2 linked regions of the Lepisosteus oculatus genome follow. The protein of the gene in region 2 interacts with the protein of the main gene of each other region in a biochemical or structural test. Links are inferred from orthologs where the notes say so. Each region holds a gene or a part of one and is shown on either strand. Other genes may lie near its edges.

Region 1 (15,810 bases), on a different chromosome or scaffold from region 2:
TATCAACAGCAACAACAGATTACAGAGATTCTACAGGGTTTTTGCTAGCTTGGTTTTGCATTAAATCATAATAAAAGCCATTCACCAGGTGAACACCTAATGGAAAATACTCAAAAACAAGCGTTCTTTGCAAGGTTAAAGATTTGTATGTAATCATAAGACATTGGCCCTTGTCAATTTTGGACACTTTTGCTGTTGGTCTAAATCGTGTCTAAATTAGCCTGCTCTGTCTGCGGCTCAAGTCTGCATTGTCCTGTAACTGGCCAACATGAGGTCCAAATGCTTTTGACGAAAGGAGTTTGTTTTCTTATTGCAGCAGGTTTTTTTTTTCAATGGTAGAAAAACAGCAGTCCTTTTCAAACCCTATCAAAGGATGCCTTTACCTTACATGAAGGCACAAGGCGCGAGTGCCACGAAACAGTATTTTTTTTAAGATTCAGACATCGTCCTTTCCCAAGGAACTTACAGCCCAACAGTCTTTCTCACAGGTACTGAATCCTCTGCTTCATATGCCCGCAGCTTCAAGAGATTCCTAGCATGCTTTCAATGTACAAGCAATGGACTTCAATGAACGTCAGGAACTGTGGATGATGATATGCTTTTAAACACTAATAGCCCCGTGACTACGTGTGTGGAAATTGGCTGGGGGTTGTCACAGGTTAATATCCATCACTTCATGTGACACTGTGTGAGGAGAGGACAGCTACCACACTGTACAGATGAGGCAGATGGGAAGGGCAGGGGTGGAGGTGAAAGCAGGAGCTGGTTTGACAGTTCAAGCTGTGAAGGGAGATTCTGGAAAAGAAAATGGAATTTTAATTCATGACAAATCACAGTGCTACCACTCGCCAGAAAGCAAACAAAATGCAGCACAAACATGCTATGATGTAGAACTGGCAGTATTTCACCAGGAAGGTATTTCACCCTCAAATAATTCGAGATAGCAAGGAAAAGTTTAGAAAATGCTATCTTCCTATTGACATTGTTTTTAGGACTTGTGACATTATTTATTTCTGCACAAATTGTGAATATTCGTATAAAATCAAATTCAATCTCTTTTTACGACCTTAGAGCCTATAGAAAACATGATGACTTTCAAAGACATTTTAAAAGCTTTGTGCTCAGGGTCTTCTGGTGTTTTTTGTCCACAAAGATGATTAGGGCATGACATGTCAGAGGAAAGCTTAAGGAGCAGTGCTAGAGGTTCACATTTACATGATTACTTCACAAACCACGTAGCAGCAGTAGTAAAAGTAAAACTATAAGTATATATGTATGTATATGTTATTTTTGAATACAGTCAGAAAACATAACAAAAGACCACCAAGACTGGCAAAAACAAAGAACCTTTATTTTGGTGCACAGAAGCTGGTGCTGCCAACAGCTGGTGACAGATGATTTATTTTCTTAAAGTGGATCAGATATTAAAAGCAATAAAGTATTACCATCACTGCATGAAACCCATTCCATGCTTAGTCCAGAACACTTGTGCACTGAAACCATGGTCTTACCTTTATTACTGGAGTGAGTCTACAGAATGGGAGCCTGCAAGTCTGGCCAAAGCAGATCCTACCACTTTAATGATAAAGGAGAACAGAGACTCAGGGTCAGATTAAATCATAGTTATCACACTGTCACAGCCAGTATAAAGTAGGGTTATTCTTGCGTAATTAGGTTTTTGCTCTTATAGGAGGCCTAGGTCAGGACAACCACATTTTCTTTGGTCTCAACATGGTCTCATTATCGCCCCCTCATGGTACTTATCTGTGCTGGAAGAGGAGTGATGAAGCAGCCACAGTCAGCTGTAGGCTGGTCCTCTAAAAAGAGAGAATGTAGTCAGAGATAATAAAGAGCAAAGACCAGGCTGTGGGAGAGAGCACTTTTTCACAACACATTTGTTTCGGAGGAGTCATTTTTCCATTTTTCTTATTTTACGACCCCGTCACTTCGCATCAGTATTTAATTTCTGTACCCCAAAGTCAACTTGCTCATTAGTGGGTGTGTACTCTGAACTTTCCAGAAATTTTAACTAATAAGAGTAAGGGTGCTCACAATTGATAAATTTTGTTTTACACAACTGCAATAATAATAATAATAATAATGCAACTCTTCTCTGTCTCTCCAAGAACCAGCTGTTTCCTATTTCCTCCATCTATTAAACATAATAATTGTCAAATTCTAGTGTGTAAATGGTATGGGAATATTAAATATTACTAGTAGTGGTCTCTGAAAAATGTACAGTTCATGAGAACATGCATTTACTTAATTAAATTATCATTCGTGCACAACATGTGGTACTATTCACATTTTACAGCAATCCTAATGTATTCAGACTCTCAAATAACGAAATAGTCCTGTAGTGTCTATTCCTTGATCAGACATGCACAGAAGTGAAATGGAATAGGTATAGCTCAGGGCACTACTGCTTCACTACTGAAATTAAATGCAAATAATTTTGTCTTTCCTCAAATTAGTTAAGAGATGGAGAGCAGAACTTAAAGATGAGAAAATAAAGTGGACACATATTAGCCACTTAGCATGAGCAGCACATATTAGCACTTTTAAGGTTATGCATCAACCTACCTCTGCTCATGGGCTGCAAATCAAATTTGTGATGTTGATTCTACAGATAATCTTCAGACATAACAGTGTACGTTGTCATTGTCAACAAACATCATACTTAACATGATAACACTAAAAAATGTGACCTTTGGATGTCTGCTATATAAACACAGAGAACAACATGCAATGTTATTTAAATGTTATTGTAATATGTTCTTTGGAATTTGATAATATAGCATATTCTTTAGTGTGTAAAAATATTGTAGAAGAGCATTTTCCCTTTAAAGTACACTATATGGAGTTTTTGTTATTAAAAACAGGTTTATTTAAATTTTATATACATTATTAAAACCATACTGCAGAGACAGATCATATAAAAGGATATCTGAAGTATTCTGGGCATAAATCTACAAACAATGGCTGTTTAATGAGCAGATAGGGTCACAAGTGACCAAACACTAAGTATCCACTGAATTTTCAAACAAATTCAGAGCATCACAGTTTTAATTATTAAGTCCAATATGATTCTGCAAACAACTACATAATTACTTAGAGGGGAAAACATTATAATTCATAAGGATAAAAAAGAAGAAATAGCATTATATGAAGGCGAAACAAACATCTGTTACTCCTAAAAGGCTACAAAAACAGTACCAATAGGTACACATCCATCAATTTTCTAACCAATTTATCCAATTCAGGGTCACAGGGCAGCCAAAGTCTATCCTGGCAAACAACAGGTGTAAGGCAAATACACCCTGGAAGAGATTCCAGTCCATCACAGGACACACTTGGACATAAATAATAATAATAATAATTACACTTATATAGTGCTTTTCTGGACACTCCACTCAAAGCGCTTTACAGGTAATGGGGACTCACCTCCACCACCACCAATGTGCAGCCCCACCTGGATGATGCGACAGCAGCCATAATGCGCCAGAACCCTCACCACACACCAGCTATCAGTGGGGAGGAGAGCAGAGTAATGAAGCCAGTTCACAGGTGGGTTTTATTAGGATGCCATGATTGGTAAGGGCCAATGAGAAAACCCTGAACACCCTGGGATTTTTAATGACCACGGGGAGTCAGCACCTCAGTTTTACGTCTCATCTGAAGGACGGCGCCTGTTTACAGTATAGTGTCCCCGTCACTATACTGGGGCATTAGGACCCACATGGATTGCAGGGTGAGCGCCCCCTGCTGGCCCCACTAACACCTCTTCCATGCACACACTCACACCATGGGTAGTTTTCCCAGAAGCCAATGAACCTACCAGTATGTGTTTTAGGAAACCGGAGCACCTGGAGGATATCCACAGGGACACAGGGAGAACGTACAAACTCATCACAGATAGCACCCCAGGTCTGGAATTGAACACAGGGCCCCAGCTCTGCAAGGCAGCAATGCTAACTACTGAGCCACCATGATGTCTGTAAGTACACTTTCACAGTGAAAATCAGGAACAAACAGAGATGTCAAAGGCCCAGAAAAACATTTCTAAAAGCAAGTATGATAATTATCTACTAAAACCCAACAGATACCTAATGATTTTGGGTAATCGTAAGCTTTTCTGCAATACCACTTAGTATAGAAGTGTACAAGTAACAGAGCAGGCAGTTCTGTTCTTAAAACTACACAAATGTACACACACAGTATAACACATTTTACATAGGAAAGTCTGATACGTTGATTTGTCATTCAAAAATACAATTATTTCCACAGTAGCTACCAAAGGCCATACTGAAACAAAAAAGCTGCATTTTGTGTCTAGCATGTCGGTGGTTCTCCTTAGGGTGCAGGCCTGTTTGATATCTTCTGGAAACTGGAAATTTCCTTGTGACAAAAGAAACAAACTCAGCAAGCTAACAATACATAATAAAGACTACAATGATATCTTATGGATGCAGACATCACATTTCAGCAACACATTGATAGAACACACACAAACACAATTTGTATACAAAATAAAATACTGAAGACATTATGAAGGCCATCACCTTAATTGAGAGATTTAAACTTAAATATTAGAATTAATTAAAAAAGTGAGTGAATTATTCCGTTATTACTTGTTTTGTACAATAGATTTTTTTTAAATAGGTAATCTTGTGTTTTATTTTTGCATTTTACTTTTTTTTTCAAATAGGAATGTGATTGTTATTGATTTGCAGTAGGTCTGAGCTCAAATCATTTTGTCTTTGACTGTAAATTTGTCTGACGGTTTCTTTGAAAATGACCTAAACTTTTATGATCCTGATTGCTCTCTCATTCACAGGCTGTGTTGCTAACCTTTTCTCCGACTAACCATAAAATACTATCGTTAAAGCCAACAAAGGTATCAGGTTGAAGATAAGATAGCATTCAAAGGGTGCTAAAAATATTGGAAAACAAAAAAGGAAATGATTATTAGTCAAAAAAATTTTACAGCCATATAATAATTCTGAGGTTCCAGAAGGGTTCCTTTGACAATTGCGGTTTGATTAAAAGCTAAAAAAAAATTCAAGTCTGTAGTCAGAAGCAGTAGAGAAAGTAAACGAAACACAACCTGAGTATTAATCAGTCAAAAAAAAACAGGAAAAAGGCAACTACCATGTTTAAAAATACTCCGCAAATGTATGAAAACAAGAGAAAGTAAGACAATTGTGCACATACCTAGCCTGCTGCTATGGGTTAGTGAATACGGTGGTTACCATGGATAAATCTGACTATGAAGTGTACTTTGGAAGCAGGCTTTGTGTCTGATCTTTCCCCAAACAGAAAGCTGTGATCCAGGCAGTAGGTTTGTGTACACTGGGCAAGCCAGTTCCAGTATTCAGCTTCCTAGGAGCCATCTCTTCGCATAAGTACATGACTTAACTGACGTTCATCCTATAGCTACTGTGTTGGACGCCGGCAGTCGCATTTCAATTTGGTCCTTACAAATTTTAACTTGTTAAGAGTTGCTTCTGATAAGGTGGTTTGGGATGCATACGTATAGTATGTTGCTTCTATCACTTTATGGATGTTAGGTGTTAAGATTGCAATGTTGTCTGTTTTGTGTTTCCAACAGGCAAACTAGTCCCTGCAAATAACCATGAATGTAGAAGGCTCAAAAACTGTAAAAAAACTACAGAAGCCAAAAATGTTGACCATTGGCTCCTTCAAAGGTTTCTGTAAGAATTGTCAGAGGAGTTAAAAGTTTAATAAAGAAGTATAATATAGAGAATTAGCCTTAAAAAAAGAGAGGAGGAGGCAGTGGAACCAGTACAGTCGCACAAAAAGTATTGGCACCTTCCATCGCCTGCAATCTTATTAATGTTTGTTTCAGTGCATTTGCTTGTCAAAGTACTATTATATCTCCTCTTAGATCACTGAGCTTTCATTCATCCTAGCAAGCTGTAATTAAAGGCTTTTTGACCGAGTTAAATTATTGAAGATATGGAGACTGAATTTTTAATTCTCTAACTCCACAGAAGTCTATGGAATGGTAGAAAAAGAGACCAGACTGGGCTTATATAACATCTAAAGTCACCTCTAAAATACTTAGAAATGGCATTTTTTTCCATGAGGGAGAAAAGAAGCAAGATTGAGATTTTTTTTTTTGTGTCTTTACATCTTCATAGCTCCTGGACTTTGTTGTGTGCTCTGATTTAAATGTTCACAGTCATTTTGCTAGGATGGCACTACAGAGAGGACGGACACAATGTAGCACATTGTAAATAGTATATCTCTATTCATGTAACATTAGCCTGTCAGTATACTGTACATTGAGGGCACAGAGTGGATTTTGATCATTTCCATGGATTGTAGCCTACATTCAAAAAAGCAATCAGGGATATTCTTTAAGCACTATTTTATATAGGTTTCATTTATTTGAGTGAATATTTAAATAAAATTAGCATTAACAGGAAGCTTGCCAATGCAAATAAGAAATTAAAGACAGCAAAAGAAGGCTTTACTTTTTAGTATAGGGTACACATCAGGAAATTAGTCATTATGTGGAGTCTAATGTTAGAACTGATTAGAAGCCACCAAGTCTCTCAATATTACAGATTTCCCATGATCTTACCTCAGCACAACCTTCATTGGAAATTTAAATGATGGATAATTATAAGTAAATCAAGGCATTTGTTCACATGTGTTGGTGGCTCCATGGCAACCAGTACGGGGTCTTAGTTAAATACTGGTGGAGAACTTCTGAAGACCGCTGTAATAATGGGTTTTATAGGTACCGTCTCCAACATAAGAAATTGATATTCGTTTACACAGTTTTGTGATATAAATGTATGAAATCAATTATATTTAAACGAGATAAAATGTTTCCAACTTTTTAAAAATTTATTGGCAGACAGAGCAAAGTTTCCCACTTAACGGATTTTTACATTCAAAATCGTCTACTATGTATGTTATTCAAATATAATTTGCGATGATGTTTTTTTTTCTTCAGATTTATCCGTGGAAGTCATTAGGAGCTTATGGTTCAAAAGTTTGTGTCGGTACGGAAAGAATATTTTCTATTTTGCCTTTCTCGTTTTTTATCCTAAACTCCCTGTAACAGAGTATTTTTTCTTACACTAAAAAAGTTTGTTTCGCAATTTAAGGAGTTAACGGGTCCCATTTTAACCATTACCGAAAACGTGTTAAAATAGGTTATCTTGGGATAGTTGGTGATTTAAAGTACAAAGAAAAGTTGAAAAATGAAGAGCATTACTCCTCATTAGCTAAACAGCTGCTGTATCCTGTTCAGTAGCGATGTCATTTTGTTAGAAATCGTTTATGGCTGTCTTGTTTTCTGTCATCTAGCAAGTCTTAAAGTTTTACACGATTTTTTAGGAGTCCTACAAATTTAATTGCTTCATTGCCTTTATACCCTGACCACTGTAGCAATAAGCAAATGAAATGATTACTGGCTATGAAACACCTTAAAACCATTAGTCTTGCGTTCTGTTGCCTGCCATAGTCTGTAAGCGTTTGGCTAAACAGTACAATAGTATTTTTTTTAATTAATTAGTTTTTGCTCTCTCCTTCACACAGTCTTAAAATTCAAATCCATAACGGTGTGCATCCCACCCTTCTAAAAATTCAAAACACTACTTAACTTCTATGTCAAGCTAATAACTGGCATCTCTCACGATTCCATGTAAATGTTCCGTTTAAAGCTTTTATCTCCGTCCGTTAGATGGTCTCCGATGATTATTATTATATTAGAGCTCCTTATCGGATTAGGTAACAATAAAGTGTAGTGATACTAACTCGTGGTACTAATTCTTAGGTGTAATGCAGATCAATAGAGAACATCGTACAATCCCTGACACAAAGTCAGGATGATTAGCTAGTAAGTGCACTGTCAACTGTCAACAATTAATTAAACTTTATATGCATACTTTTACTCACAATACCCATTTTATATATAAAATATTTCCGCTTTCCCACCCTCTTCTTGTTCTTAATAGCTATGTATTTGTATTGTACATGTACTTTAGAGCACATGAGGAATCCGGATAACAAAATGTGCCATGCTTGGTTATCGGTTTTTACATATCAGTGAAGATAATCTTATTATTTCTCTGACTGACAAATGTATATTTACGCTAAAGCAAGCTTTGAGAAAGAAAAAAAAACTTGTAATTGATGTTTTCCCTTAGACGCCAACCCCTCCCCTCAAACCCACCCTTCAGGTGAAAAAAAAAATCTTTAAAGATTTTTTGTCTTTTGTGGGATAACATCAGAAAGGGTTCGTCTGCTTGAGCCAATCAGCTCCTTCCCGCATGCTATCGCATGCTATAATACATAGCACTAAAGGCAGACTCTTCTCACAAGCGTCTGTAGCCTGCCTACCATTAAATTCAAACCCTGTTTTAGTCTCTTTTTTTTTCCTGCAACGGCCCAACTCCGATGTATTCCGTTATCAACGACCAGAAGGCTGACATTTCCGCACCTGCCTCAGTAGGGATCGGTGGATAGTATCACAACGAGAAAAAGAAACAAGGGCATAGGAACACAGTGAACGAAAGAGAGCGAGAGGGAGAGAGAGACATAGAGGTTGATCTGGACACGACCAGAGATAGATACACAGAAGCTTCAAGTAATTAGAATCGATGGACGAAATGCTGCTGTTGACAAGAATCGTGCTGGTGGGCTTGACCTGCCTTGCTTTCGTATCCTCTGGGTTGGCTTGTGGACCAGGCAGGGGCTATGGAAGAAGAAGACACCCGAAGAAATTGACACCTTTAGCTTATAAGCAGTTTATTCCCAATGTTGCAGAGAAGACCCTGGGGGCCAGTGGCAGATATGAAGGGAAGATCACAAGGAACTCTGAGAGATTTAAGGAGCTGACTCCCAATTACAATCCTGACATTATCTTTAAGGATGAAGAAAACACTGGCGCTGACAGGCTTATGACACAGGTAGAGTGAACATCTTTTTACTCCTATGCATGATCAATATCAGTACATTGGGGATTAGTATTGTGGCAACATATTTTGAGCAACAAGCTGATAAAGTTTAAAGTCTCCGTGCTGTTTTTAATTTTCAATTTGCTTTGCCTGGGGTGTTGTTTTATGAGTCCTGGTTGTGTGAATTTTGTTTGCTGAAGTCCCCAAGGCTCCAGTCAGATCAATTAAAGTGGATACTGTAAGGAAAGGGACACCCAAGTGAATGCAGACAGCCGGGACAGTCAGACGTTACTATGAACTGCAGTTTACTTGTGCTATCGATCTAAGTTCATGCTCCATTTTATTGTGTGCCAATTCACCCGTTTTTAGAGGACATCCTGTACTTAATCACACAATCTGTAAGTCGGAATACATTTAAAAATAAGAAGAAATAAATCTTCCAGCCCCTTGCAGAAGTCTCGAGGTTACAGTAGCCAGCTGCACGCATTAAAATATAACATTTCGCAGTGTTGCTCATTGGGGCATGAAAATATTGACATTTCTTTAAGCATGTTCTGTACACCATTACTACTTCATTGCTGGGCGGGACTTTGTCAATTAGTCGCGCTACTAGCATAGAACTCAAGACTTCTTTAAATTATTATCTTTGTGACCGGCTTTTGCAAGACGATAAAGGGGGAAGCGGCATAATAAGCATCCGTTTTGAACCTCGGCTACGGTGTCTTTTATTTGCTGTTTGGGGAACAAATCTGTGATCTCTGCTTTTGAATAGACTTCATCTGCATGACCTGCTTGCATAGCTGAGTTCAGATTAAATATGGGTCAGAAATGATCATTGCAGATACTGTGTTTCGTAGACTCATTGGGTGAAACCCTTGCTATTAATAAGACCCGGTTATTTTTACATGCTTCCTCGGACTATGGCTATTATATTTTTAAAAAGAGATGCTCAGGGAATTTATTCGAGTCCAGCCTCCTTAAATATCGCAGGATCCGGAGTGGAGTGATGAGGCGCGCGCCTGCTTTACTGAACCGTAGAAGCACGAGCCCCAATTAAATATTCACCCTGTACTGTAGGAGTGCGTGCAGCCAGGAAAGAATACGTTTCTACTACGCACCTCCTTCATTCTACATCTTCGTAACATTGTAATTCAAAATACCGTCTTGCTAGAGACATAACCTTCCATTCTAGCATTAAAGGAGTCGGCTCAGTCCCACATAGCCCTCGGTCATTGAGACTCTAAGCTGCAAGGCAGTGATCTGCACCAAGTCAGACACATCTTGCATTTTCAGCTCCACTTACTCCTCTTTTATCGATCGGAGCGGCTAGGATTTCAGTTTGTATTTTTATATAACCAATGGCAACCATAAAGCGCCAGCTCCCCGGTGCCTGCGTTTTATAATCTGTCTATAATCTAGCCTTTAGACTCGGTCGCAAAAATAAAGACAGGAGCAGAAAATGTACAGTATGGTGGGGGTTTTTTTGGTGGTGGTAATTCTATTTTGCGAAAGGCCGGGCATCCGCGTTCCCTTTATTTTAGCACGAAGACACATTTCAATTGCCCTGCTTTTAAGAAACGCTACTGTACAAGACAAGCACTTCCTTGGGAATAAGGCAGTCTTTTCTTCTCGGCTTGTCGCTCTGGCTGCATTCGCTGGGAGCATTTGAACTTATGACCTTCTGTCAATTTCTTTCAATTGTATGTCACAAAAACAAATTCGTATTAGTTCTATATGTTGTAGGATAACAGTTTTTAGAACAGTTTGAGTTCAGAATGCTTTGTTTCTTAAACCACTGACATCAGTACCACTGTGGCTGAATAGACTACATCTTCAAATGCCGTCACGTCGAACTCCAGTACAGTATAGCTCTTTAAAGACCGCAAGGTTACTTCATGAACTGATGTATATATGCAAAGGGTTTGAGGGGATTCTAAATAATTTATTTTTGAAATGCACCAGGAAAGACCTTTCTGAGGAATTGCGGACTATCTTTAATTAGGTTAGCCAAATTAAGTTGGCGCAGTTACGAGCGCTTCCAGTGAGTGCTCCAATGTTAGAGTCTGGACACACAGGTGCATGTTTAAATAATTAAGGGATCAAAAGCTACCTTTTTCGTAAAGGGGGAAAAAAAGGATAAGGTATATTTTTGTATAAACGGGTACCCCGCGGGACCTTTTAAAGAAGATGAAGCTTAGTTCTGGTGTGGTTTCCTAAAATGTAAATCATATACCAGTTAAAGTTATTATGGCAATAAACGCGAAGTTGCTCGAGGGCGTGCACATAACAATTTGGATGAGCTTCGTGTTAATCAGGCAACCTTTCAACTACAAAGACACATCTCGTAAGCTTCTGTGAAACTAGCGAGATCACCTCAAAGAAGAAGAAAAAACTTCTTGTGTAACCCAGATGTGTGGATTTAAAAAAAAACAAACAGCGCTAAACTGAATCTAGACTAACATAACTGATGAGCATATTAAAACCGTGCTTGAATTTAAAGAGTTCATCGGGTTGTTTACACTGACAGGTACCTGATAAGTGTTTCCTTTAAGCAATTCATTTGTGAAGAGATTAGGGACTGGCAGCGAGGGCTTGTTGAACAACTTTGTCTAAGCACAAAGCGTAAGCACGGCGAGTCCTGCTGGGTTTCACGGTGACTGAACAGAATTTGGCTTGATTTGCGACACACGACCCAATGAATTAATAAATAGTTTGGGCTTCACGGCTTTTGACTCTGACAATCCTGCTCAGAATAGGAAGGGAGAGCTTTTGGCATGGCCCTTTTTACCCCTTCTGAGCGCTACAAGTGCTTAGGATGATCTGTATATGCATTTATTTGATCTTAATGTTTCATAATCTCTGCAGCAGGTTGATTTTAGATAAGTACTGACGCTTGAGGTTCTGTGATCAATAGGACTTCTGCGTTGTTTCTAGTCACAGAAATACTGTCTGATGTAGAAGGTGTGTGGAAAACACTTGAATGCTCATATAAAAGATTAAAAGCTCCGTTTTGCTTGGTTTTTTTTGGGGGGGGCTTGTCAAAAACGAAACATATGTTGTGCATTTTATGAAGATCGACCTGCGACGCAACTGGTACTCTTAATTTAGCGTGTTAACTGAAACATTTAGTTTTCTGTTTAAACCGCTTGTATTCCTCTTCTATATCGCAATAAATATGATTTTGTATTAAAGCACTTGAGGCGTTCTGATAAGATAAATTATTGCTTTTATTAATTGACATATTGTGAGAATAGTTGTTTATGATCTCCAGACATTGATGTCTTGTTAAGCAATCTCGTCACGTCTCTAAAAAGTAGTACTGCAAGAGTAATGAAAGTGTCTTTCACCCTCCGGGCGCTGTGAAAAGAGTCTTTTGTGATGTTTTACTTGACATATTGGTAAAGTGTTGGGAAGAGTTGTCCTGGAGAAGGCCAAGCATCTCTGTTCTGGGTCTCGGGAAAGATTAGTAAGCGTAGTATCCTAATTATTCGCCAACTATTTTGTGTGTATAATTATTCTTAAACGCCGTCAGTGATACTCAAGCACCAAAAATGAATGAATGTGAAAAAAGTCCGTAAAACGATCGTAATTAAACGATCGCATCTGGTAACTGCATAGTCTTCTAAATCATAGGACTGCTTCTTCTTTCAGTGCATTCATTCAACATCAGTTCTTGTCTAGACAGCCAGACAGATAGATCCAGAGAACAGTGTTCATTCAAAATGATGGATCTATATGTTTCAAGCAAGTGAAGCAGATGAAAAATTATAAAGTATTAATTGCCCTCTTCCTTATCCTGGTATTCATTTTTGAAAATCAAATGTTTCAGACAGCACCCTCTCCTGTCTCTTTTACTAGTCTCTATTCTGTCCAATTCTAATGAATGAGATGATGAGGGACTTGCACCATAAACTGGGCATCACAAAACAGGACTGTAAAGCAAAATAAGGTCTATGGACATGTCCTGGAAGATGGACTGTTCAGAAAAGGACATACAATTTTCATTTTTTTTATCTATAGCTAATGCCAAGAAGAATCTTTGGGGCCTCAGCAGGTTCATTGCAAATATCTGCAAAGTTAAGCACTTTACTGAGTGATTTGTAAAACTAAAGCTTCTAAGAGCAAATAAATCCATTTGTGAGGGGAAAGAAGAAAAAAAACAAAAGTCTCCCCTCCACGTGACGTACTTTAAATCCCCAGAGTTAAAAGTGTTGCTTTCAAACTCGAAGCTTGACAGATGCCTTTGTTGCCTTTTGATGCATTACTGTCCCCTCGTTTTCCTTGAGAACTTTGATTTCTCAAGACAATTCGCTAAAAGCTATACACCATTTGACTACTTTTGCCTGAAAAGTGATTTTCGTTCAGTTTGGTTGCTCCAAAATTCGCCTTTCTTCCAAAGCTTAGTTGGCCTATTTGTGACTTCTACAAAATGGACACTTTCCCTAATTTCCTGAAACTAGGTGTTGGTGATGTTTTTATTTCTCGAGATAACACTTTTACTGGAATCAAGAAATACAGCTCATTAATCGCATTCAAATAGGCAATACTAATCTATATCTGGAATAAAGTGATTTCTCATTATGTCTGCCACATTCAAATGAGACTCTAGAAGAATAATTGCACACGGGTCCAAACACTATACTCTATTTTGCGGCAAAACGGTTCTAAAAGTCACAAACTCATTGGTTTTTTTTTTTATTAATTGATGCCACTGAGTACATCTCTCTCTTTTTCTTATCAGAGATGTAAGGACAAGCTGAATTCCCTGGCTATTTCAGTGATGAACCAGTGGCCAGGAGTTAAACTGCGCGTGACAGAAGGCTGGGATGAAGATGGACACCATTTTGAAGAATCGTTACACTACGAGGGAAGGGCAGTGGACATCACTACTTCTGACCGGGACAAAAGCAAATATGGTACTCTGTCCAGGCTAGCTGTGGAGGCAGGATTTGATTGGGTGTATTATGAGTCTAAAGCCCACATCCACTGCTCCGTCAAAGCAGGTGAGAACACTTATACAAGCTCTTTAAAATCATACATGGATGGAATAAACTTGTGGTTCCTACTGACAGCTCTCAAATTGAATCCCATTAGCTGTATGCCACCAACACAATACAAACTATGACCAGATAGGAGGGCTGAAGCTGCTCTTAGTTTTCTCCAAGCCTTGATGATTCTGATTCTTTATACTCCTCTTTTTGTCATATGTCAAAGGAGAGAGAGTTGATTTTACAAATAAAATGTATTCTGAGGACAAAAGTTATACTCAGTATTAAAAACTGCTTTGCAGAATACAGTGTGACTCTGTAACGAATACTGCTGTCCGTCCAATGCAAGGAAAAAGCTCTGTGGTTCTTATTGTTGTTACTGTTGCGATATGTTGGACTATGTTCTCCCCTATGAAAAGCCTGTAACCATTTGAATCTGGTCAGTCCTCATAAAAGGCTAATACCAACATGTTTCAGACTGGCTTGAGGCATCTTTAATGGCATTACATTGATGGAATTCACATAAAACCAGGATTGGTGTAAACTTTAAAGTGAATATATATTCTTATCCAGCTATGTTAAATCAAAATGAAATGTAGAGTAATGAAAATACAACTAGGCTGAAGGACTATAAATAGGTTCCATTCAAATAGAATTAGATTAATACTTATGTAATTGTGTGGGAGGCATATTTTGCCACAAACTCTTTTAATTAACGCTATTGCTACTGATATTTTATCAGGTTTTTAAGAAAAGTAAACTTAATGTTCGAATCTCGCTTCAGTGGCCGATATTCTGATTTCATAACGTTATGTGTTGAGGGAAACACAATCTCTAGTTAACTCGCCCCTTCTTAGTCACCAACAAGTTACAGAGGAATCGTGTTAGAGCCCACGATTAAGTTGTTGAAATCTGCACAAAATTATCCGCGATCTTACATCGCCCCATACTGTTTTCATAATGAAATCACTCAGCCTGTCATTCCGTATTTAAACAGGGAAGGCTTTAACGTCACCTTTTAAATATTTATGGCACACTGGGTTATAAAAGTGTGCTGTGGCCAGTTTAATATTTCAGAAATCTTTGCGATGTTCTCGGTAAAAGGCTAGTAGATAGTGGAATGGGTATGGATTTTAAGTAGAGTACACACATTTTACAAATACTTAAATCCTTAATAAAAAAATATTATTTGGCAAAATGTAATTGACCTTTGAGGAGATGTTTTAGTTGGTTTTAATCAAACCAGACGTTTGTTGGTATTACAAAGTCAATTTTGATATAAAAGTCAGGATTGTATAAATTATCTTTGCTTATTGAATTGTTTTCCCTTGCCACAATGTTATAGAATTCGACGAGTATTAATAATTACGATGTTTTAGAAGAAACCAACACATTTAACTCAGACTTAGCTTGGTGAATTATCAATAGTGCACGAAGCTTTTCCTTAACACGGTGTTCCTAAAATGAAATATTCTGTGGGCTTTTGCGAGAATACAAAACCACGGTTTAAACCACCACACAAAAGGATAATTGTAAAGGTATACGTTTCGGTTTCAGAATCTCATTTGCCTTTTTTTTTTTGTAAATTACCTCATTGTTTGCATTTTGGTCAACTATGTTAGCACCAGATGAATGTTTTAATCCCACCCCACGCGTATTGTATTTAGTATTAAGTGGCAAATCTGCTATTTAAAATTCAAAACACATTTTGGGCTTTTTAGGTCATATTTAGTCCATGTCATGCAGGGTCGTGTGACTGTACCGAATGGATTTGGACAGCGCAATGCTGAATTCGGTCAACTAAAGCTGGTTTTCTGTTGTCACCGCCTAGTTTCATGCCAGAGAATCTTATGAGAAGATTAAATACTAAAATTCCAAGCAGGAAG
Region 2 (16,222 bases):
CACACAAACCCCTCCACGTTTAATTAAGGAAGTTGTGTTCATAAAAAAAACCGTTGGAGGATTTCCAGCACAGCTAGACAGCTCACACCATGTTTGCTGGCCAAATTACATGCACAAATTGACTTGCGTCTAAAATAATGTCTGAACATTATTTTCTTATACACAGTTTCTCATCAGGCCAGTTCTCCAAAATGTAAATTATTCCTCAACATTCGAGTCTGTAATAAAAAATGACTGCCCTCTGGTGGATGTGTAACAAACGCTCAATTTTTTTTTAGTCTTATAAAAGTAGACTCACAGACTGGTTTCTTTAACACCCCTTCTCTGCAAGTCTTCAATCTACACCATATCAATGAATCGAGTATCAAATGAGGTTTTAAATAGCCGAGTCTTCATCTGATTAATTGTAGCCCAGGGGACCAAGACCTGAAGTCTCCATTAGAGAGCGAAGGTCCTGTATTTCGATATCTTGATGATTTCATCACAGAAATCTCACTGAACCGAAGAGCACTCTACAGGAAGATAAATATTTACGGGAAATTATTTTTAATTAAATGTAGCCTATGATAGTATTTTTCTTACTACTCCAATGATGTTTTCATTAACAAAATGCCCAAGGATGGTTCCCCCTTCTCAGGACTATTAATCCCATAATCTGAACAGCTCTCTGCAAATTTTCAACACGGTGCCAGCAGCAGGAGACAAATGAATGCTCACTTGAGGCTTTATGAATAGTTGCAAAAAAACATGCAGACAAAAGAATTTATAGTATACTCTAGGAACAGTGCATTAAGGCGAAGAGAAACGTGTTGTTTTACTACAGGTGAAAACCATCTAAAAGTTTGTACTGTACAGATTAAAGTGCATATACAATTTGTTACATGTGCATATTGTTGCGACTGGCTACCCACAGCAAGTTTAATTACTTATTTAACATGTAAAGGTCTCAGACTCACAACCTGTCCCGGGGACAATACTTTAAGGATTAAATATACATTCTGTCAAAACATGCGCCTCCTTCAACTATTACTGTAAGTTAAGAAACACTAAATAAAGGTTCAATGCAAGTCCTTCAGATATGTCATCGCACATTACAAAAGGTTTTTTTTATCTACCTTCGTGACGGTTTTTACGACACAGAGAATAAGTCGGAATACCCCCTCAGATACAGGAAATCAGGAAAAAGTCTTACAGAGGTTTATCCCCCAGAGGGTTTGCCCTAGAATACCACAGCCCCTCAATCCGATTTACAGCACACACATTTAAGACAAGTAAACAAGAGGAAAGTTTCCTAGAATCACATCTTTTTTTTTTTCCTCTGCGGAGTCTGAGAGGATTGGAAACTCATGTCACACTGCTGGTTGTGTGTCACTATCCATTCTGAGAGGATTGGAAACTCATGTCACACTGCTGGTTGTGTGTCACTATCCATTTGGTTCCGATACCCTAAATTACATTTTTCACTTGTTCCTACAGTATGGGTCAAACTGAGCGGTGTTTTCAGGATCAACAAGCTCTGGCATCCTTAAATAAGCAGTCCCTCATGCTCTGGCCATTTTCTTAAGCCACAGAGGAGAAGGTTTGTATTTCTAATAGGCAAAATTTTAATTTTTTAGCATATCTGGACCACTGTATTTTTTTTACATGTCTACTTGTCATGCTCTAAAGCACAGTGGTAACAATACCTCACTTTTACTCCACTTGAAGGATGAAAACATTTTGTTAATAACAATGTGCTGGTGAATGAGAATGTATGGCAGTGGAACTGTTGTATGATTCTGCCAAAAAAACCTTTTTAACATCAAACTGGGAATGTCTGTGTCAGTGTCTGTAACTACAGAGAGGGCTGTGGGAGTCTAGACTATACTACCCAGCCTTGTTGTTGGAGGATTCCATGTTGTTCAAGAAATGGTTGGATGAGACCCTTGGATCAACTAATTACCAGCAAACCAACAAGACAGATCAGACAGAATGGCCTCTTTCTCCTTCTCCAAACCTCTCTTATGTTCTTAGCCTTGAGAGAACATTGGTTCAGATATGATTCTCTCTCTAATGGTGGTGGACTGCTACAGCGCATGCAAAAGGATGAATAAAAATCACTTTCTTTGCTTGTTGGATCAGTAAACCTCCCCCTTCCCCTCAGAGGAAAGAACAGAAAAAGTCATTCCTAAGGTCTCCCACTACCAGACAAGGTAGGGCTTATGTTTGTAGCGCCCCCTCTCTTTCCTGTGTAAAATGACGATCCTATCACAACGCAGCGATCTGAGTAAAAAAGTATCCATCTCCCGTGATTAAGAATGAACTAAAATTCCTCTGCTTTAAATTCTGTTCTCTTTCTCTTAGAATCAGTGGCGAAGGTGCTTGTGTTACTTGTGAAAGTGTTAAATTTTTTCTTAATGATTATGAACATCAACCAGGCATGCACTTTCTGTCATTTCTCAGATTGCCCCAAAAGGCAAGTCTTTAACAAATCACACTGAAATGTAGACAATAAAACATTACGAATCTGGTACCATTGGAAGCCAAGTGGAAATGAACAATTCAGTGGACAAAGCATTTGTAGGTCATAGAGAGGTCAGCTTTGAAGGACAAATGCGAATTAAATATAAACATGGCATCACAGAAACCCAACAAATCTCCCACAGCTTTGTCCAGCCAGCACTAATCTATACATCAACTGTGGTGAATAATCTAAACAAACAGATCTGACGCTTCATGCATCTGGAAGTTGTCATATTTTCAAACTTGCAAAACTGCAGATTAAACATTTTGACCCACACAAAGGCTTGCAGTAGACTTCAGAATTAAGAAGCAAACAAAAACCCCACATAAGGTATGCAAAGTAAAAATAAATGTAGCGGCAAAGAATTCAGAAACGTTTTAGCCGAGAAATCTTTATTAAAGATTATCTGTAGCTGGATATAGAATTCTGTGCAACATTAAAAAGAAGGCCATATTCAGACCTGAGCTCCACTCTACCTGACAGGCTTGCTAATAGGAATTCAGCACTTTGCCAGAGAGACTGTATTCAAATACTTTCAAATCAACAGATTTATAAAGACCCAATAGACTGAAGAGTAGAGAACAAGGGCTTCAGAAAAGCTTTAAAACTAAGACTGAACAAAACTGTTGATCAAAGGAGACACAGCCTTTGTTTATTGCCCATGCCTTAAAAGATTGGAAGTGGAGACAGTTTTTAGTACATCGATTTGTGGAGGGTAAGGGGGTTAAGTGTGAGGTAATAAATTATACTTAACTATATTCAACTTAATTGTACACACAAAAAAATGAATTGGTTTAAAACTAGATCCATATTTCCTTAAAATATTTCTCCTTATTACTGAACTGCCTCCTATTCAGTTCTGCTTCACAGAAACACAAAAGACCTGTTCAGTGTAGATCAGTGACTGATTCCAGGACATCTCCTGGCACGAATGCAATACAGCACAAGCTTACTTCATTCAACAACTTCAATGAAGAAATGGGTTCTGTAGTAACGTCTGTGGTATTTCTCAAACAGTCTGCAACAGCCTAACAAAACACTGCACAATGGTAAAAATAAAATGGAAAATAGAAATGCTATTCATAGTTCTAAATAGCATTACACTGTCAGTGCCCCTCAATCACAAATTAATCTATTTGTGTAGTGCCCATATTGAAGATCAGAGCTTCAAACACTCTGACAGGAACATAACACATTTTCAAGCCACGCAAATGGAGAACAGAAGAGACCTACAGCAATGGTTCTGGGGCAGCAAGATCTGTTCCAGTTTCTGATCCACATGAATTCTTAATCACAGTCTACCCGACCTCTTTTTTCTATCTGGGGCATATTTTAAAAATTTGCTTCCAGCTCTTCAGAGGTTTTTTGTCATCTAAAATGCTCTGTAATTGGCATCAACCCTATTCCAATCTCTGCATTTCAAGAACTATCCAATTTCAGGTGAGCTGGTTAACCTATAGCTAATTGGACCTCTGCAGAAAGAAAAGAGGTAGGTGTCATTTGACACATTGTCATTCCCACCTCTATGTGTTCAGCATTAATTGGTGACCTATTAAGACGTGGTTTGGTTTAGTGGTTTGGTCATTAGGATGAGGAAAATAAGGAGAGGCTATTTAAAATGATGGTTGCTGAAGTTATTTGAGGTAGAGTTTACTGAAAATTAAAAGTTCATAATAAATATCATAAATGTGAGGAGGGAGATGTATTATTTGGAACAAAATGTTCATTTCATGAAAACGTACCCTTAAGGCACTATCCTATAGCCATCTGAAGAATTCTCCACATTCTCTGCAAATTAATTGTATCAACCGTTCTTTGCAACGCAATTAAAATGGCGAAAGAGAATTTTTTACAGGTTAATCTCAAGTTTACTAATTAACAGAAATTTAAAAATGGAAATGGGTTAAGACGGATAAGAAAATTTAACTATTTTAACTACAGCAATTAATGAAACATTTGCGAAGCTCCTTTAAGCCGTTTTACCCTTCCTTTAATTATCTATTCAGAATTTCTATACCCTTTGTTTTCAACTACTGGAATGTAGATCAAAGAAGGGGAAAAACTTTAATTGAACTTCCCCCATTCCCGAAGTCTACCTTTTCCACAATTTATTCTACGAACCTAATCGAAAAATGAATTACTTTTAATCTCTATTTGCCAAAACATATTCATCTACTTTGCAAGTATGCGTTTCATTCTGTACTTTACTTTTTTCCGCTTTTACCCAGAGACAAATGTTTTTTTCAAAGTTGAAAGCTGTCCAAAACAGGACCACACACAGACTCTCCGGGCTGCACAGATCAGATTCTACTGCTGGGGCACACACACACACAAAATGGCGGCTTTTTACAGAATTTTATATATATATATGCACACTATACGTACGTCTTTTTTTCCTCTTCCACGTTAAATAAGAAAAAAAACAACTTGAGAAATGCCATTCCTCTAGAACCCTTATCAACTCCCTTCATTTCACACTTTCCCTTTTACAAAACTGTAACACACAAATCACAGCAAATTCTTTTCAAGTTTTTACCTGGCTCTTTGCCAAACTGCTGCACAATAAACAATCCCTCCAGTTTATTTGGCATACACCTCTCCCCACCCTTGTATTACTCTTAAAACTAAAAAGCGCAAGAATATTTTTAGCAATAACTAAAATTTAAGAAGGGGTTCTTACCTTCAACCCACAGTTTCTCCACGTTGGTTTCTAGATTAGCTGCCCTTAATCCCACAGCAAAAGCTCCAAATATTAAGAGGCCAACAACTAAAAACTTTCCGCAGTTCTTTTGTATGTAACACCCCAGTTTAAACAAGAGTCTCTGGAACTTTGCTCTCAGCCACAGTGGTGCCTTTCTTCCAGTAGCCTTCCCCTGCGACGAAACAAGAAAGTCCAAAAGTTACTTGTTAGGAATGTGTTTATCCACTGTAAATATCTGTAATGAATGCTCGGTTATGTAAGTGACTACCTGTAACACGTCAATTTTTTATCGGAATACGACATTAAAAAGATCACATTTTCTATTTTGAAAACTTTGCTGCTGCAAGATGCGGAGGAAATGATAGACGTCGTGTCAGCGATTTCTTGTGTCACTTGTTTCTCTGCTACGGTTCAAGACAGGTATATACCGTTACCTTTTAGTTAACAAAAGCTAAAACTTTAATAACCTACATTTGAATTTGCTTTTTAGAACACCATTGATTCATATACCCATTGTACGGGTGGGATATACAGGACGCTAGTTTTTCGTTATTCTTCCTAAAAGAGATCAAAGACCTCCTACGTGGAAGGAAAAAGAAAACGGTAAACTGCTTGCAGCGTGATAATATTATGCTGCCAATTGCGCACGATAGTCCGTGGGCTGCAAAACAGCTACCTTATCAGTGACAGGTTACAGTAGCGGTGCCCTACATTGTAACAAGCAATATTAAAAAAAAACTTAGATCCACGTGGTTTCCATTGCTGTTAGACCATAAGCTGGAGGCTAATTCATTTCCATAGAGTTCAGAGACGCTGTGTGATCTGAATTAGGAAGTGGAGCAGCCATCTCCGAGTTACGACAATATTTGCGAACGGAAGAGGGCAGCCACATGGATTTTTGCTTTAGCAGAGGGATAAAAACTACTCCCCATAAAGATACTATCGCTTATGCACTGAACTGTTCTAAAGGCGACTTTAAAAGAATCGCCAAAAAGGCTAATTCAGTTAGCGACTCGAACAGCTATATTGTATTAACTGTCCCATTGAAATGATCAAGGTGCTGAACTCCGGAGAGCCAGAGTAGTCAAAACATTGTTTACTAGAGTAAGTACATCACTACAGTTTTACGCACAAATGCATCTGCCTGTTTTCTTACCATGGTTTCAAATAACTGGCATGACATTATTGTTAATCGAAAGACAAATCGGTGTACACTGGCTGATCGGAAATACATGTTTCACTATGAATTCTGACCAGCCTGTGTACAACATGATGTAAAGAACGGTTTCGTTGCAAATACACTGTCCCCCTCGCCCCTGTATGTATACCGTTACCTAGCGACTTGACAAAACTAGGAAAACTCACATGGTACGGAATACCCATTTCCCCGTTTAAGACATTTAAAAGGAAAGCACCTTTGATATTTGCTCCAATGCAAAAGCTGCATCACAGTAACTCGGCCGTTGCAAATACTCCAAATCAGTTGCTGTAGCTGCTGCGCGATAGTTCCCTCTATTCCTCCGGGTTATCCTCGGCCGATCAGGGTCTCTGTTTTCCTGCTCTGAAACATTAACAGCCGAGGCCATGTTGTAGAGACTGGGCTGTAGTTTTTGCGATCCACGGTCTTAAATTCCTCCGAACGCGTGTTTTGATAATCCAGGGTAACAAAGTTTCACTACCGCTAATCTCGGGCTCGCAAAGTACTTCATACTCCTGTTTAGGACGGCGAGTCAAAGTCTGCGCCTTCCATTCCAACATTTCGTGATCCGGAGGTCTCCACAATTTCCCACATCCACTGTTTTCTGTCCTCTCCAGATATGTGTTTTTAAAAGACGAACGTGAAAAGAAGCTCTCCTTGTCCAAAACAGCGACTCCGACCGCTCCGTTGTTGTAGCATTCTGCGCGCTATGCTCTTTCTCAGGCCGCGGGACCGTGCGAGCTCCGGGATTCAATAGCTCAGAAAAAAGGACTCTCTCCATTTGGAGACAGAGGAGGAGGGGTAAGGCAAAAAGGAATCAAAATCCCGCCTCCAGGGCTGTCAGATGGCTGGGGTTTCTTGGATCTGATTGGTTCCAGAAGGGCAAAAATTACTCAGCAAACACGACTATTATTAGCTGCTTAGCAACAGCTCACCAAAGTAGAGAGACCACCCAAGCAGGCAACCCTTGTGTGTGCATCTCAAACTTCAGGGGAGCCTTAAAGAACTCCAGCCTTCTCCAGCTCTGCGTGCAACGCCGCTGGAGTCGGCAGTTTTCCTTCTTTCTGCGTTTTCTGTTTTCCTTGCAAAGTATTTTTCTTCAACTGGAATTTGAATCTCCGCCCGATTCATAAAAATGCTTCAGAGTTTCTCAACTGCAGTTTATGTTTGGTTTTCGAAACTCTTTAAAAGAACATTCTACCGATGTGTTCCCTGGCCTCATGATTTTTTTTAGCGAGTCCTGGGAGGTCCAGTTGAATTCTCAAGCTCTAACAGCGATAATGACAGCATGGTGGATAACGCCGGAGAACGCGCCCGTGTGTTTCTTCACCTCACCAACCAAATTGTTTTTTTTTTTTGTTCACAGCTGAACCGGCGATCGAAATAAAAAAAAATCAAGACTTGTCTGCTGCTCTGTTTTTTAACACTATCACGCAAAGAATAAATATGTCTGACAGACGCGGAACATGAAACAGATCTAACCATGGTATATCCAAACAACATAAAACATAAAAAGGAAGCGCCTACTGTATATACAGTATGAGGGCAAAAAAATGAGAAAATATGCCGGATGAAAAAATAATGAGCATGTACATAAAACAACAGAATGCAATAATATTTTCCACTTTCTTTCGGCTAAGAGTTTCTCGGAACATTTAAAATTTTGGTGTCAGGTGTGAAGTTCCGTACACATATGTATCTGCATAAAATGTCAATGAAACGTGTGTCCGTAAAGGATGGGTTTTTAGTCACGTGAGTTCACACACCGAAGGACAACTCCCCCAAGAGCAATCAACACGTTTCTTTAATTCTGAAAGCTTAGCTCGGCAGAAGACTTTCGAAATATGCATCACCGACACTGCGCTGTGCCTGAAGAAGTGCAGCGCGTTGCACGGTCGGGTCTACCCCTTGCGCTGTCCAATACCAGTCACCGCTGTCAAGTCAAGGGCCAATGGTAACTTCCAAACAGGCATGCCCTCTTATTATTAATTGTGTCACAAAGCAATTTCTAGGGAAAGGAACGCGTGGTGAAATATTTTACTTACTGACTAGTTGATATGTTGCCCAATCGAATTAACAACAGGTTAATACATATTCCTGTCTTTTTGAACGATAAAGTTTTCATAAAACGATCAATTCATATAGCATTCGTTGCCTAATGGCATTCTCATGAGCATTAGTGCCATGACAATCCCAATTAAAAACATAAACATTAAGCCTCTTCACTGTTTTCTTCTTTTTTTCCAATCGTTATAAGATCACGTTGGTACAGTATTACGTAACACCTACACTTCAATCCATCAGTTTTATTCAAACTGATTTTTCTTTTTTGGGGGGACTTTCTTCCCTCTTCAAGCACCAGTTTGATACAGCTGGTGAATCTACATAATAATAATAAGAAGAAGAAGAAGAAATCTTACACTGAGCTATTGTACTTCCCGGGCTTCGCGCGGATCTCGGTAAATCTAGTGTACTAAGGCAAGACACCCCCTGTAATAAGTGTTAATCGAGCGCCACCTAGGAAGTAAAATGTATGTGCAGTTGTAGTTGGAAAACAAAAAGAATCAGTGACACTAACCAGTAACCTGTGTATTGACATTTACAGTGCTCAGTAGCCTATGTTAGTGCAATCGATCTCAAGCATGCACTGAAGGTTTTATTTCTCATACAACTCTTTATGGTTGCAGCTAGCCTCAGAATCCGAGTGACCGAAATTGTTTACGGCATCTGACAAGATAGACTTTAAAAGGCTGTTCGGGCAGCACAAGAGGTGAATACATTGTTGAAAAACGCATTGCTCAGTGAGCTGTAAAACACGCAAGAGGGTTTTTCAATAAGATGTGACAGGTGAAGCCTTACTTTGTACATAACGTGTTGTAAATAAAGATAACGGGACTGCTTTAGCGATGGCGAGCCTAAAACTGTAACCGTGTATTAAAGTAACAAGCTACACGATTATCACTTCGGCGCAACCAAATAGCTTCAAAGATTGTAGGACAGCAGTTGACAATGATATGACGCAAGGTGATCTTATGGAGGGGGGGAATGAGAGGGAAAAACAACCTGGGTTTTGTTTAGGTTTTCTATTTTTTCATAGTCTAATACTGTGAATAAGGCAACTGGGAACTATCCTGTTTATCACTTGCCTATATTCAAGCCAAACCTATAACTGCTGGAAATCGTGTCCGTCTTCGTTTTTATTTCCCTCAGCAAATGCTGAATGATGCTTCAGACGTAAGCTTCGTCCTTTTACCTCACCAGCAGTCCCTGTGGTCTGATTTTGGGTACACAAGGATGAATTACATAAGGGATCTAATTGGTCTTCTTGCCGTAATCTTTGAGAAGAGAGAAATGCAAGCGGTGTCAGTTGAAAGTTTCTGCCTCGACTTGGGTGGCCAGCCGTAGCAGTAGATGAGTCATAGCTGCCCTTAGTTTACTCCACTCCTGATTAGATTGACCGATACGAGTGATTCACTCCCTTGTGATAGAGTTGTTTCTGACCACTCTTCCCGCATTTACATTGGTGAGCCTTTTACTCTTTAATATGCACGTGTTGTCAATACCGATAGCACAATACTGCAATGAATAAAACAAATCACCAAAATACTCCACTATGATATTTGTTAAGGAGCATTAGAGGTTCTGGACTCAAACCGAAAGGATGTAGGTTCGAATCATTGGCATTATAGCTCTACCCTTGAGGTAGAAGCTAATTCATGCAGATTGGTTCAGCAAAATACGTAGATGTATTGTATGAAGAGGTGCAAATGTAAATTGCTTTGAACAGATATGTCAGCCAAATAATATGCAGAAATAGTATTAGTACAATATCGCCATAACAGCAGAGTATACGATGAAAGCTTTTGTTTAATGCAGGGTGACTTTCTAAAAAGTAAAATATTAATGTGAGTACGCTTCAATGACATTTTTCCCATTGATACTACAACAAGGTGTCCCATTGAATCTACAATATTCCCTTCGGTAGCAAGAATGAAGATTCTGTACGGAGAACAGAACCGCATTAATATTTGGGATTTGCCATCCCATTGTTAGGCAATTGAGATTGGAAAAAATACCACGTCTGAAAATGACAAGCATAGAAAGACAAGAAACAGAGACAACGATTGAAGGACTAAAGCTGACACATCCTGCCTAGTTCCACATCAGCTCTAACCATATCTACTGAAACGGTAGAAAATGCATTCATAACCTACAGGAAAAGTTCCATTTCGAAAACCTTTGTTTATACCCGGAAACTGACTTGATGGAGGGGATGTTGGAAAGGGACAGTTTTTCATTCTTGAGATTCATAACCGGTAAACGGCTACAGGGGTAGCACTATGAGGTAAAACAGCCTCCTTTCAAATGATGACTACAGGGACAGGGGTGCAGAAGCACCTTCCGAATAGTCTGAATACATACAAGTGTGTACTCCTTCGCAGACCAGCTCTCGCAACGGCTGCGACCATCCATTGGATCAGATCACAATCGCTTTGCAACCACAAAAAGACGGACTTTCAAAGAAAGGGACAAAGGAGTTTCAAAGATAAATAATTGGCCGAATGGAACCCCGCCCATTTACACACTGTCTGGTAATGCCGAAGACACGAAATAACCTGGAGAAAAAAAAACGATCGTGATCTAAACGGAGGAGGGCGTGGTAGTACCGGTGTTGCTCATTACAGTAGCTGATACTGATAGTCGTAGCGGTCCGCGCATCGCATGGTTTTTAAGTGTGTGTATTTTCGTTTTTTGCGCACATGCATCTACAAGTTCTAGACAGAACTGATAGTCGGGATTAATTTCCCACAACTTTCCACGCGTCTTCACTGCATGAAGTGATTGTTATGCGACTGGGAGCGCGGGTTTTGCCTTCGCCTGGATGCGACAGTTATCCCCCTCAGTTGTCGGTGGTGTTATTTCCTATCGGTCTCCAATAATACCCCCTTGTCCAGCCTCGCACTCTCCTTCGACGCGCCACGGGTTTTCATGAACGCCCTGTTCTGCGCATGCAGTGGCGGTAGAGGAAGCCCACACCACACACCGAGAGTGGCGGAAAGGCACTACTCAAGCCAGCTTGACATAATAACGCAACGAATCTGATCGGGTTAAAAAGGAGAACTCTCAAGTGACACATGCTTCTCCCAGAGCTTCAGCGAGCCGCGTCGCCATAAAGAGGACAGTAACGCGTAGCGACTATAATTTGACAACGGGTGCATTTTAATGTGCATGGAATATTTGATTTATTATAGAGCGATCCGCCTCACTGTAAAACAAAAAAAACCGCTTTTTATTTTGTCCCAAAAGTGCTCACTTTACAAAATGCACATTTTAATTACATTCACCGTGCCTATCGATTCTTGGTCACTAATATCACTGTTATTATAATTTGCATTGCTCTAATATTGCGTACAATGGCATACTCACCATCAGACGAAATATAAACATAAAAGGAAAGAATGGCTGAACATGACAACCATGCTAATCTTCTTAAGTGATTAGTGCAATATATGTATGCTATATCTTAACGTGAAAGGTTTCCAGATTACTGTGTGCAGAACAAGCAACACACGCTTGATTTCCAGATGTAGTGACAGTAGTAAAGGTAAGACGTAAATTAAAAAGCAGTCACTTATAAACTACTAAATACATGTTAATACTGTGATGCTGGAAAAACCATAGAACAGTCTTTGGTAAATTCAGATTAACAAGGTACTGAAAAGGAAGATGTGTAAATCCCAAATTATGTTTTACAGTAAATAGGTAACAAAAAACTAGTTTCAGTCTATAAATATAGACCACAAGTAAGGACGCAATTTGACGACTTTCCTGTCATTAGTCTTTTATGGCCATAAATAATTTCAGAAGATGAAAACTGTGTTTTTTTATCCTTTTCATTTAATTTCCGTTAATATACTCAATTAAAAACATTTCATTTACCTCAACATGTCCTGTTAAAAGCATACTGAATAATTTAATGAAAGGCGCAAGGAAGTAGTAAGAGTGATAATGTGATTTTACAAGACATACAAATTGAAAAATGGGACATTTACTGGTTCATATATTTTATTACGTACGTCTTCGAATTGAAACTAAATTTACTTTTCCTTGAAGGAGATGGTCGAAACAGGGATGACCCAGGGATGAAGTCTGTCTGGAGACTGAGCACTGATAAAAAATCGCTACACAAGCAGTTCTTAGCTGTACGCCAACGGCAAGCCCCATCATCATCCAGTGTATCACCTCATTCATAATAATCCCGTATTAGTTACAGCAGCCAGTTACTGAATTAAGAATATCAGTATCACAACAGACGCGGTGCCTTTTGCCAAGATATCGCTCCTGGGTAAGACACTCGAAATTAATTAAACTGTCCTACTTACCATCATCCACTAGCTTGGGAAATCTTCTGGAAATGTGAAATATTTTGTCTCTCCCCCAGTCGTTTAGAGCTGTCACGTATGCAGCTGATGAAAAGATTCCTGTTTTTTAAGAAAAAATGCAACTTGGCGAGTAATAATCCTTCTTGGTTGCAGGCATTCTGCTGAGTGCTGGAAGGACTCACAATTACATGCCTGTTTCTATTAAGCAGCTCCATCGTCTCCATGTGGGTGGTCTGAGTCTCAATAGGCAGGACCTGTCAGTGTCACGTGATTGCCCTAAACTTTAAACACCCCCCCGGCCAAAGAAAAAGAGAAGGCAAAGTAAACGAAACCCAGTGCTTTATCTGTGTAAACATGCTTTCCTCACTCAAAAGCTCAGAAATTCCTGAAGCTAAAAATCGCCTTGTGCTTTCTTTGGTGGGCAAAATCAGCAGATCCTACTGCGGCTTGTTTTTACAGATCCACTTTAAGCGTTATTTCACAGGGTGAATCTGATGGCAGAGAACACTGTGTCAGGAGACGATCAGAGTGAACCTGTTCCAGTGTCTCTTGTGCATTTATTTCATTGATGTTTTTAGGAGTCGTTTTTTGACCGAAAGCATAGGAAACGTGCAAACTAGATTTTAAGTAGATCGACATTAAATGGTTTTATGTGACATTTGCTTCTTGTGGTTGTTAACCTTAATATTGGTTACATGGTGTTTCACATGGTTATTCTTCAACGAAAATATTAATGTAAAATGAAAACGTAAATGGTTTTAAAACATGCCGGCGGATTTGTTTTAATTTTGTATTTCATTTTTATAAGGGAGCCTCATACCTGTTATTGGCGTTTGGCAAAATATTGAAAACGTTCAAAATTGTATTTCGAGAGCCAAGAAATTCAGGTAAGTGAATAAAACTAATTTAAAATGCGTTAGAACCCTGTTTGCACAGAGAACAGTTTGTGCAAGAGAATGTATTGAGATGCCACGGTGTTCTGTGCTTGAGCTTCATTACAGCTTTCACCTGTATAAAATAGCATTATGAGAGCATTTCAGGAACAGTGCTTTGTAAATATCTGAGTTTAATGCTGTTTGTAAAGGAATATTTATAACAATATTTGTCCTACATTAGTCATGGTATTGTATAAATTTATCTTGGATTCACATTTTAATAAAATGATATCCTTATATTTTAGAGCACATGCTTAAAAGCACCATTAAGCACCGTTGTTTTCCAAAAATAAAGTATGGGTACAGTTTTGTTCATCATTACACATCTTTTTTATCCTTTCAGGATTCTGTTTGAACATGTTTGCAGTGAACATAGAAACATCTTAAAGTAGTAAAACATTTTTGCCAAAAGGAAGGAGATATTGTTTAGATCATTAATAGAGTTACAGAAACCCTTATACTGGAAAACGTATATTTATTCAAAGACAATATATTTCCCATATAGAATTTCCTGGTTATTTGGGTGCAGGTGTGTCCTGGTAACATCTTCTAGACGTCTTTTGGAGTGATTTCCAAAATCATCTTGACTTCTGTTCCCTCCCACTAGAGCACTTCCTACAGATGAATAATGGAAACAAAGTGACAACACCAGGTTTACTGTTGGCAGGTGATATGTTTTAAAAAACATTAACTTTTACTGAGGGCTTCTCACTGGGCACTTATATTTGAAAATACATGAGAAAATATACTGGTATCAAAGCACCACAGGTGACTTTTGAAATTTTCTTTACGTGTAACTTGAAAAGAATGTAAAGGTTGTTTGAATATGCTATTAAAAGTAGCCATTATATTATAAGCATCTGTGCTGCCTAATTAAATACAAATGAATATAGAAGCTCTGGGCCTTCTCTCTGAAATGTATACATAGATTTCTGGCCCTTTTTTCTTACTTTTACTCATATCAATTTGCCACAAAGCACATGAAAACTAACCTTCAAATCTATAGCAATAGTTCTGAAGAAGCTTCAAACAGCCTCTTAAATGAAACATTGTTTGGACATAAGGAAGTTTTTGCAATATATTTGAATAATAATCTGTTGATGTTAAAGTTTAGCACTTTTTTGAATATGTTAGTGAACAAGACCAGTCTGTCCAAACAAAACAGTTTGAGGCGAGAGTGGAATAATGAGCTGTATTTTTGTAAACTGTGCGTGTTGAAGAGAAAAAAAATATCAGCAAAAAATCAGCCTAAAACATTTTGTACTTTTAACAAGGCTTTCCAGGGGACAAAACACAAATAATTAAAAACATTGAACCACTGCTGTGGTGTCCAACACAGCTTAAACAAATATGAGTGAGTGTTTTCACACACTTCACTGTAAAACTAAGACCCAGTGAATGGAAAACTGTCATCACATGGGCAGATGTCATTCTGCTTATCAACTCCGCTTCATTTTTTTCCCACTGATAACACGTGTGCAAAATTCAGTTTTACGCCTTAAATCAGTCTGTAATCTCAATTCACACAACAATTAGATTAATATATGTCAGGCAAACAGAAAGCCACACACATCTGAACTGTGACAGTGAACATCATCTACGTTTCTGACTGTCTTGTGACTGCACGCTATAGAAATACCAAGAAATGTGACCCAAATGTTTACAATAGCATGAATAGCTTTCAGTTTTAAAACCCGATTAAATCTGCTATATTTGATCATTGTGTAAAAGATTGATAGTGTCATGAACAGAGAGCTACGGTGAGTGTATCCTCTTCACCTATTCCTTAATCTGTTTTTTTGATGTTTCATTAGCATTCTTTCCTCACCTTTTAGTCCGTCCATTCATTTTCTAAACCTCTTTATCTGGTATAGGATCATGGGGAGGAGCCAGGGCCTGTCCCAGCAAGCAACTGGCACAAGGAGGGATATACTGTGGACAGGATGCCAGTCCGCCACAGGGGGGACACAAACACACTCACACTCACACCAGGGCCAATGTCCCAAGAAGCCAATAAGCCTAAATTCACATCTCTGGGCTGTGGACACAAACTGGAACACCACATGAAAACGGGGGGAACATACAAAATCCACACAGATGGCACCCCAGGAAATGAACCCAGGGCCCCAGCGCTGTGAGGCAGTAGTTCTAACCCCTGTGCCGCTCCTCACCTTTCTAATCTTCTCCGTTATCAATGGCAGCCATTAAAAAAGAAAGCTCCAGCATATTTCACTCAACATGCTTGACTCGAATCAGAAATTCATTGTGAATAAGAATCAGCATGCAGGTTAACAAAACGGACGAGAGCGGATCCGAAATGACCAGTTTATAACATACAACCTCTTTCTATATGGGGCTATGGTATCAGAAAAGTTTAATAGTCTTAGATAAACTGCTTATTATACACAGATGCCTGGCTTATAAAACCAGTTTTGAAGAACGAAACCACTGACCTTTGGTACTTTGTGATTTACAAGGCAAAAGTATGTAATGATCTATCGG

Evidence for each region.
Region 1: the proteins of ptch1 (region 2) and shha are reported together in a solved structure, tested with the Homo sapiens proteins (5 studies listed by BioGRID and IntAct, with this or other methods). The link is inferred for Lepisosteus oculatus from reciprocal best matches to the Homo sapiens genes PTCH1 and SHH.

Annotation. Positions count from the first base shown.
Region 1 is NC_090701.1:11,936,110-11,951,919, reverse strand, and holds the start of shha (sonic hedgehog protein), read left to right. Parts: upstream 1-8,332; 5' UTR 8,333-8,639; coding exon 8,640-8,948; intron 8,949-13,677; coding exon 13,678-13,939; intron 13,940-15,810.
Region 2 is NC_090698.1:57,282,559-57,298,780, reverse strand, and holds the start of ptch1 (protein patched homolog 1), read right to left. Parts: upstream 7,188-16,222; 5' UTR 6,791-7,187; coding exon 6,620-6,790; intron 5,377-6,619; coding exon 5,184-5,376; intron 1-5,183.